2 linked regions of the Arabidopsis thaliana genome follow. The protein of the gene in region 1 interacts with the protein of each later gene in a pairwise test. Each region holds a gene or a part of one and is shown on either strand. Other genes may lie near its edges.

Evidence for each region.
Region 2: the proteins of AT3G11280 (region 1) and AT3G18870 interact in a two-hybrid assay, tested with the Arabidopsis thaliana proteins (one large-scale study listed by BioGRID).

The regions. Positions count from the first base shown.
Region 1 is NC_003074.8:3,532,080-3,537,749, reverse strand, and holds AT3G11280 (Duplicated homeodomain-like superfamily protein), read left to right. Parts: upstream 1-2,755; 5' UTR 2,756-3,128; exon of another isoform or gene 3,129-3,354; 5' UTR 3,355-3,356; coding exon 3,357-3,760; intron 3,761-3,885; coding exon 3,886-4,273; 3' UTR 4,274-4,539; downstream 4,540-5,670. Other genes in the region: AT3G11290 (Myb/SANT-like DNA-binding domain protein), read left to right, coding at 455-739, 815-1,318, 1,391-1,984.
Region 2 is NC_003074.8:6,507,141-6,511,021, reverse strand, and holds AT3G18870 (Mitochondrial transcription termination factor family protein), read left to right. Parts: upstream 1-1,678; 5' UTR 1,679-1,682; coding exon 1,683-2,507; 3' UTR 2,508-2,637; downstream 2,638-3,881. Other genes in the region: AT3G18880 (Nucleic acid-binding, OB-fold-like protein), read right to left, coding at 953-1,108, 1,273-1,434; AT3G18860 (transducin family protein / WD-40 repeat family protein), read right to left, coding at 2,670-2,801, 2,884-2,949, 3,155-3,224, 3,347-3,423, 3,683-3,819.

The DNA.
Region 1 (5,670 bases):
TCAGCCACACTCTTAACAACACAACTCAGAATCGCTCTCGCCGCTGTTTTTCTGGTAAACATTTCACACCTTTGATTTCTCCATTTCATCTAGACAAATTGCGAATCTCAAAATCGTTTTTTTCTTCGTTCTTTCAATGTTAGGGCCAAATAGTACTCGATCTAGTGTACAGAGCTTAACTCTAAATTGCGTTAATTTTCATCACATGAATGATCTAATAGATTTTCAGAATTTGCCTTGCAAAAATCTTTGCTTTATTTTATTTTTTTCTGGGTCTCTCGTCTTTTGTTGTCTCCTGGTTATGAATTTGTTAGAATCTATGCATTTGGAATTGATAAGTCCTGTAATGCTTCCAATCAAAAGCAATTGTGGGATGACAAATGTGTGTTTAGTCCATACATACTTCTCAATTATGTTGTTGTTGTTTACTTATCTATTCGTATAGTGAAGAGTTATGATGCCGAAAGCTGCGTGGGAACCAGAATACCACAGAGTATTTGTGGACTTATGCGTCGAGCAAAAGATGTTAGGGAATCAACCTGGAACGCAGCATATATTGAAACCTTTTCTACAAAGAACTGGCGCTAGGTTCACCAGAAACCAGCTTAAGAATCACTGGGATACAATGATCAAGCAGTGGAAGATTTGGTGTAGACTTGTTCAATGCAGTGATATGCAATGGGATCCTCAGACTAACACTTTTGGTGCTAATGATCAAGACTGGGCCAACTATTTACATGTACAATTTATCTTCTGTGTTGATTTTGGTTGTTTCTTGAGTCTATAATAAAACTCATGATTGGATTTGTGACAGGTGAATCCTGAGGCTGGGCAGTATCGGTTGAATCCTCCATCGTTCCTCGAGAAACTTGAGCTTATCTTTGAAGATAGTAACTTAGATGATGAAGGTACTTCAGGTAGCAAAAGGAAGCGAATAGCCAAGCATCGTGATGAAGATAATGATAATACTGGAGATGAAGAAGACACGCAAAGCGCTTCTAATTTCTCGAGTCCTCAGTCGAAAGGATACTGGTCACCGTCTTCACATGAGCTGTTTGTTGATTTGTTGTTCCAAGAGGCTTTAAAAGGAAACAGACCTGACTCACATTATCCAAAGGAAACTTGGAAAATGATCCTTGAGACTATCAATCAGAATACCGGTAAAAGCTTCACCAGACCGCAACTCAAGAATCATTGGGATTGCACCAGGAAATCGTGGAAGATCTGGTGTCAAGTGATTGGTGCTCCTGTCATGAAATGGGATGCAACTTCTCGAACATTTGGTGCTACTGATGAAGACTGGAAAAACTACTTGAAGGTATAAACGCTACTCGACTTTTTATATTAGTTGATTAAGTTTGCAGCTTAACATTGGTTCTTTGATTAACAGGAGAATCATAGAGCAGCACCATTCAGAAGGAAACAACTTCCTCACGCGGATAAACTAGCAACCATCTTCAAAGGACTTATAGAACCAGGAAAAGCCTATTTCCGTTCTTATCGCAGGAGAGTGCTTGATCATCATTCCGAATCACCACAGCTACATGACCCAACTCCATTATCAACACTTTACACAAACGAGCCAGTCTCAGGTAGTGAAGGTGGAGCTGATGAAGATGACAATGATGACGATGATGAGCAGCCTACTCCGCAGCACCGGAGATTTAACAGTGTTGGTTTTGCAGAGTCTCGGTTACAAGATGTTGAAATTGTAACTCCGGGATGCCACAGGTTAAAAACTGAGCTGATGAAGGAGAGTCCAGTGAGTGCATCGGTTAGGCAGTACGAGTATACCATTGGGGAATGCATTGAGTGTTTGGACTCCATGGAAGAGGTTGAGCAAGGTAGTGATCTTTACTTGTTTGCGTTGGATTTGTTTGTGAAGAAAGAGTACAGAGAGATTTTCTTGCTGTTGAAGAACTCAAGTTTGAGAATGTCTTGGCTGCTTAGACTTCGATCTGGTGGCCTTACCATTGCTGCCTAAGATCGTCATATTCTCCCAAACTTCTTCTGCTTATGTCTTATTATGCTAAACACTCTTGATTTATCTTTTGAACAGTGTGAGATGTTATATTATTAGGTTCCTTGAAAGATTTTATGACAGTCGAAATATTATAAGAGTTACTGGTTAACTTTTGTCGCAAGAAATTACTCTTGTCTCTATTGCAGATGAGAAATAAACTTCAAAGCATTCGTATCCTATCGTCTATGACTCTATGTAGCCTTCTCTTCTTCAAAATTAACTTAAGTTAAAAAACCTTGTACAGTTTGATTAGTTGATACAACCGATATACTTTTATTTGATTTTCTCTGTTTGCAGAAAGTAATTTAAAACTTATGTGAGCATCACAAGTAAAATGGAGAGATAGTGGGATTTAATGAGCTTTAGCTATTGAATCTGTCACACTTTCTAAAAATATTTTCCACCGACGCATAGATACTAAAACCAATCATCACTTAATTCCAGGTAAGAACTTAATCCTAAACAACCTCCTTAAGGAGACAAAATTAAGATATAAAAAGAGATAAATCGCGCCAGGTAGGGGTCGAACCTACGACCTTCTGCTTAGGAAACAGACGCTCTATCCACTGAGCTACAGGCGCTTTTGATTGTAATTATCAAAACATTATATTTATAACAAAACCATACAGTATGTCTCCGTGTGGACCAGAAAAAAGGCGATAGAACAAATTTGTCGTATTCCAAAGAATTAAATAATAGAATCAAATAGATCAATCAACTTTTTTTTTCTTTCTGAGAAAAATGAACCGCAAGAATCCGAGTGGAGTGGTGCCATTCGCTGTTCTCCAATCCAAATACGCCAAATCTTCCCAAAAATAAAGAAACCTTTCCTTTTCTTTCTCTTCACTCTGTTCCCATATCTACAGTGACTCTTCTCTCTCTGTATATTACTCTTCCTTCACTATCTCTCTCTCTTTACTGGGTCTTCTTCAGCTTCTGAGTCTTCTCCTCTCTCTCTATCTCTCAAGTGGGCTTTGCTTTGCTGTTTTTGTCTTCCTTCGACGACTCACTTTTGCAGATTCTCATAAATTCTTCAAAGCTTTGAGTCTTTTTTCAGATTCGAGGGTCGGTTTTATATATGCTTCAAATCTCTTACCCAAATCAGGTTCTTGATTCCCTCAGTATACGATTCTTCATTTTTCCTTCCCTTTTGTTTTTCTTCTTCTTTGATTCCTACTATATTATCATTAAACCTTATATATAAAAGCTTCCATTATTTCCTTATATCACAAATCTATCTTTTAAGCTTCCTCCACACATAGAGCAAGAAAATGGACTTTTTTGAGCTGTGTTTGTAGTTGAAACTTATTCTTCCCTTTTTTTGTTTTTAGGTATGGAGACTCTGCATCCATTCTCTCACCTACCTATCTCTGACCACCGGTTCGTTGTTCAAGAGATGGTGAGCTTACACAGCTCGAGTAGCGGTAGCTGGACTAAAGAAGAGAACAAGATGTTCGAACGAGCTCTTGCGATATACGCTGAAGACTCGCCTGATCGCTGGTTTAAAGTTGCTTCCATGATCCCTGGAAAGACTGTTTTTGATGTTATGAAGCAATATAGTAAGCTTGAAGAAGACGTTTTCGATATTGAAGCAGGACGTGTTCCCATTCCTGGTTATCCTGCAGCTTCTTCTCCCTTGGGGTTTGACACGGACATGTGTCGTAAACGGCCTAGTGGAGCTAGAGGATCTGATCAAGATCGAAAGAAAGGAGTCCCTTGGACAGAGGAAGAACACAGGTTAAGACACTCTTTCATCTCTACAGAATTCTTTCCATATAAGTCACTCTTCCTAGGTTCCTTGCAACGCAAGTCATCCCCTTTTTTCTTAGGGTTTTCAATGCTCTGTTTCTTGTTCCTTGCAGGAGATTCTTGTTAGGCCTTCTCAAGTACGGTAAAGGAGATTGGAGAAACATATCGAGAAACTTCGTGGTGTCAAAGACGCCAACGCAAGTGGCGAGCCACGCCCAAAAGTATTACCAGAGACAGCTCTCCGGAGCCAAGGACAAACGCAGGCCAAGTATCCATGACATCACAACCGGCAATCTTCTCAATGCCAATCTCAACCGTTCCTTTTCCGATCATAGAGATATTCTCCCTGATTTAGGGTTTATCGATAAGGATGATACGGAGGAGGGAGTAATATTTATGGGTCAGAATCTCTCTTCAGAAAATCTGTTTTCTCCATCACCAACTTCATTCGAAGCTGCCATTAACTTCGCCGGAGAAAATGTCTTCAGTGCCGGAGCTTAAGGCAACATAGAATCCCCAAACTCAGCGTTCTTAAGAATCTGAGTTTTGAAACTGTAATTAGAGAAATATAAGCAAAACCAAGTTTATTATATATGTATTGTGTGGTTTAAAAGTAAGAACTTGTTTTTACTCTGTATTTTTGTGTTTCTGTCTACTAAATACCTGTTATGTTAAAAAAAATCTGTGTTTTCTTTTCGATTAAATTATAGACTTATAGTTGTGAAAAAGAGTACTTGTGCTTTATGACAAGTTGATAACCCTAACAATTTACCACAATATATCTATTTTATGGTGTTAAATGCAAATTATAAAGATATACTGTAATAAAGACTTAAAGAGATTAAAAAAAAAAAAAAGACTCAAAGAGATCAAACACCACACAAAAATGAGAAATTTGTGAAACATGTTTTGGGTTAGATTTATTTAAGAAGATGGCTATAGTATAGTTTTAAATATTGAGTAAAGTTTTGGTGGAAGGTATGAAGAATTGATTTGAGTATAAAATAGAGGCTGAGTCTGCTTTCCACTTCTGACCAAAGAACCTCATTCTTCTCATCTATTACACCAACCTCCTGACTCATATATATATTAACGTATTTAGAATTACGTATAATGGTGTCATTTGTATAAAAAACATATATGAATGAAATGTTTATTTTATTTTTTAATCATTTGGTGCCCCAATCTAAACACTGCTCACATTTGAATTATGCAACTTGAAATAACTTTGATAAATTTATATTGAAACAACTTTGAAATATTATTTATCACAGTTCATATGCAAAGTTGGACCAAAGGCTACACTTAATCAAGCAATAGTTTTATCATAGTTCATATTCAAAGAAATCGGATTTAATAGATTTCCATATCTTATTCTATATGTATTAGATGAATCTTGATCATCAATTGTGACATATGCTACTGCAATTTGCGAGTCCTATTTCGGATAAAGAAAACAAAGTAGTTTTTCCTTTCTTGCAACTTTATGGCTTTATTTCTTTTGCCACCCTTTTGTTATTTTGTCACTTTCGATCTGGTCGCTTCGATGGGATCTACATGCCTTACACTGATGTACCAATATCAAAAAACATTCAATGTTCTTACGTCATACGTGCATTACTATATACTATACAGTATACACTATTTTATGACTAAGATTTGCGATGCTGATAACTTTGAGAACAACAGGATGCAAAATTTAAAGTGAAATTACGTACAATTGTTACATCTTTTCCATAGCAAAGTTATAAGGACATATTCTAGAAAATTGTTGAATAACAATTATAAAATGATAATTGTGATAATTCTTTGTAAAACTGATGTATTTAAATATGTCAAATAATTCATCATCAAAAGTTGCATGTATTATTACGATACCGACATATACCGTGAGTACA
Region 2 (3,881 bases), 3.0 Mb from region 1:
GATACAATTGAGACTCAGCAAGAGTTCTACTGCGTCTGCCACTGCATCTTGATATGATGGGACCCACATAACATTACAAGAGACCAATCAATGTTTGATTGGAGTATGCTGACATGGCAAGGCTAATTCGGTTTGGTTTGTTCCAAAACTTGGATCCAAACCAGAATCATTTCATAGGACACATTAGAATTTGAATACTTTTGGCGCTGGATTCTTATATGCATTGTTACATATTGGCGTTTACTTTCTCCAAATGCTTATATCCAATTAGATGAGTAAGTTTGGTCTTCTTAACATCACTTATGAATAGATTTTGACCAACACAATCTCTGTAAACTTGTTGGTCTTTTTGAATTAGCTTTTTTTCGCTAGAGTGAAAATTATTCATCAAACTTTCAATAGATAATCTGTAACTTCGGATTCATCAATTATACAAGTAATCAGGAGATCGAAATCTGATCAATATCATCTACTAAAGCACTACACTACAGCTTGATGGATTATGTTCGAAGTTACCACATTCTCTGTTTCTGATGGTGCTACGTCTGCGACCCACATTGTTCGACCCTGGGGTGAGTTTGCGCCAGAACTGCAAAACTGCAGCAAGAGGAACAGTCAGAGTTTTAAAGCCTAACCAACCAAAAAGGTAAGAAAAATAGATTACGGTAGATGCACATCAAGATGCCTAACTAGCTATAAATCGTAGTGGGTATGACACAGAAAATGTAGGGAGCACAAAATGGATTCCAAGAACTTAAGAATGGAACATCAAGATGCCTAACAAGCTATATTGCCACACAATAGCCTCTCATACCTTTAGAAACAGTATCAAAACTCAAATGTCAAACAGCAAAGTTCAATTCTCATGCAGTTCCACTAAAGGTATCAAAGGACAATACACTGAAACAAAATATTCTGATACAAAAAATTAGAGAGCAATAACTAAATCACCTTAGGAAGACGAAACAGGGGGCTGCTCAGCAATGGAGGTTGAGGAATTGAGAGCCGCAGCAGCAGCTTGTGGAGAATAAATGCGTGCTTTCTTTATGATTTCTGAAACAATCCAATGCTTATGCTTGCTCAAAGGCCTTGAAGGATCCAATTTCACCTAATATTTCAAACAACCAAATCAAGTTTCATTTCCAAAGCAGCCTAATAACAAACAGGCAAGTCTACTTCCAATGGTTGAGTTCAAATATTCCTAGAGCTTCCCTAAATTTTCGAGCTCTTGATCAAATGTATATCAAATTCAAAAAATGAAGGGGAAAATACTCGATCGCCGATGTTACAGGAGTCCTTTTCATCGTGAGCCATGAACTTGGAAGTACGCTTGACATATCGATTGTAGATATTATTGTGGAAGAGTCTGTCGACGGCTACCACCACCGACATCTGCATTTTGTTCGACACCACTGTCCCTATCACTGCCTTCATTTTTCCTAACGAGCTCTCTCTGGATTTTGAGAATCTAAAGAGCAAAGAGAAAAAGATTCTTCTGGTCTAGGGGTTTTATAATGATGGGCTTTGTTATCTCAGCCCAATTTATATTAAGGTCCATGAAGTATAGTAGTTAACAGAACCGGCCTCATACTAAACCGCTTCAAAAGCTAATTTCTGGTTTATTTAACAGATATAAATAAAATCGAACCGGGATGAGAAGTAAGAAGTGAAGAATCATCGATATGGCTGTTATTGCTTCACTTCATCATCTTCAACCTCTCTCGTCTTTCTCGTCTCCTCCTTCTCCTTCAAGCTCTAAGCCTCTCTATCTAAAATTCCAAACCTCACACCGTGAAAATCTAAGACACCTTTCTTCTCTCGGAATTGTTCCTCAGAATCCCCGACTTGCTCCTCCGGCGAATGATCTTTCCGTTATCCTCTCCGCCGTGAATCTCCTCAAATCGAAAGGAATCTCCGACGAAGATTTCCCACGCCTCGTTTTCCTCTGTCCACAGCTCTTCTCGCCCACTTTCGACATCTCTAAACTCGATCCCGTCTTCGATTTTCTCACCGGCGAGCTTGGAGCTTCCGCAGAAGAATCCAGGGGCTTAATCGTAAATTGCCCGAACATCCTCTTCTCCGACGTTGAGTATTGCTTGAGACCGACGCTTGTTTACCTTAAGGAGCTAGGGGTACGGAATCTGAACCGAGCCAGCAAGACGAACGCGCACGTGCTGAACACGAGAGTTGAGAAGCTAAGAGCAAAGATGAGATTCTTGAAGAGTATAGGTTTCGAACACGAGGAAGCAGCTAGAGTCTGTGGGAGAATCCCGGCGATATTCGGATACAGTGTTGAAGATAACTTGAGGCCCAAGTTCGAGTTTCTCGTTTACGACATGGAAAGAGAACTTGAAGAGCTCAAGAAGTTTCCGCAGTATTTTGCGTTTAGCTTGGGGAAGAGGATAAGGCCAAGACATTGGCATTTGAAGAAGAAGAACGTTAGGGTTTCGCTTAGTAGAATGTTAATGTGGGGTGATCAAAAATTCTACTCAAAATGGAAGCCATAAGCCATAATCTTTTAAGTTTTAACATATGTTAGTATTCAGAAATCTGAAAACAAAAAAGTTGAATTGCATTTCAAGGAAAAGTGATTTTGAATCATATGAAAATTCTTGAGGGAATCATTGAAAATTCAAATCCCGGGTTCGATCACAGACTCTCTTTTAAGGTTACTGACGAATTACAAGATCGATATCGGCCCCAACTTCTGCAATCTTGGCTTCCTTTGACGCCTTCGCTGATTTTGCGATGCTCTCTACATCAAAATCTATCGCTATCTTCTTCACGAGACCTTCAAGCATCTGTTGTTACAAACACACACCGATTAAATTATGTAATTAACAACAAGTGGATTACGTTACTCTAGTTGTTGCGGAAACTAACCAGTGAGCCAATTGCTACCAGACTCCGGAACTTGGAATCAACATCTGCAGCTTCTTCTTCTGCTACCTGTAGTAATAAGTTAAATATTTTTAGCACCAAAAAAATGATAATAAACTATTTGGTACATTGGTCTTCTCCGATTTTACTTTGATCTCAGAGATTTGTGCAAGTGACAGAGACAAAATAAAAACAGATGAGATTCAACTCGGTGACGATGAATAGGATTTGGATGTATGCAACAGTGGTTAAAAATAACCAAATTTAGGCGTACCTGCAAAGCTGCTGAAAGGACTTGAGCTTGACCTTCTTGATCCTTCTTTTCTATTAATAGCACTGCATAACTGAGGAAGAACAAAAGCATAGATTACGGTTTGATCTTTCTCCACAGAGAGTTTAATAATAGAATAAAGCTACAATTTGGCAAAAATCCAACTAGAAGAAAGTAATATAAGAGAGATCTTACTTGAGAAGCAACGTCGAATAAGCCAACTGCAGATTCTTATTTGGGGATGAATAACAGTTTGAGAAGGCATCAAGAATCTGCATTGATCCACAGCAATTAAAACCACTTCTCAAATTATTATAATAAACACACACATGTATAGGCACTATCTTATGTTTAAATGTAATTAGAAACTTAATTTATATGCCCAGACGCAAAAAAGCAATGTATATTAGACATAAAACCCAAAAATTTCTCCTCAGGTTGCAAGTCACAGCTAAACCAATTAGTAGGTTCATCGAGATCATCACACATCCTAGTTCTGGTATAAAATCATAGAAATGAAAGAGTCCTTACTTGACTATGATGCGTCTGTAGCCAGTAATGAAATGAAGAATTCTTGAATAGATTAACAAGGACACGAACAGTCGTTAAAAGATTTGCAGGAAGAGCAGAATCTTCTGTAACTTTCTTTATCAAATCCAAAAGCAGGTCTGATTGATATATAGTAACAGAGAGATACCAGTTAATAAAGGACATTACCTACTAGCTAGTA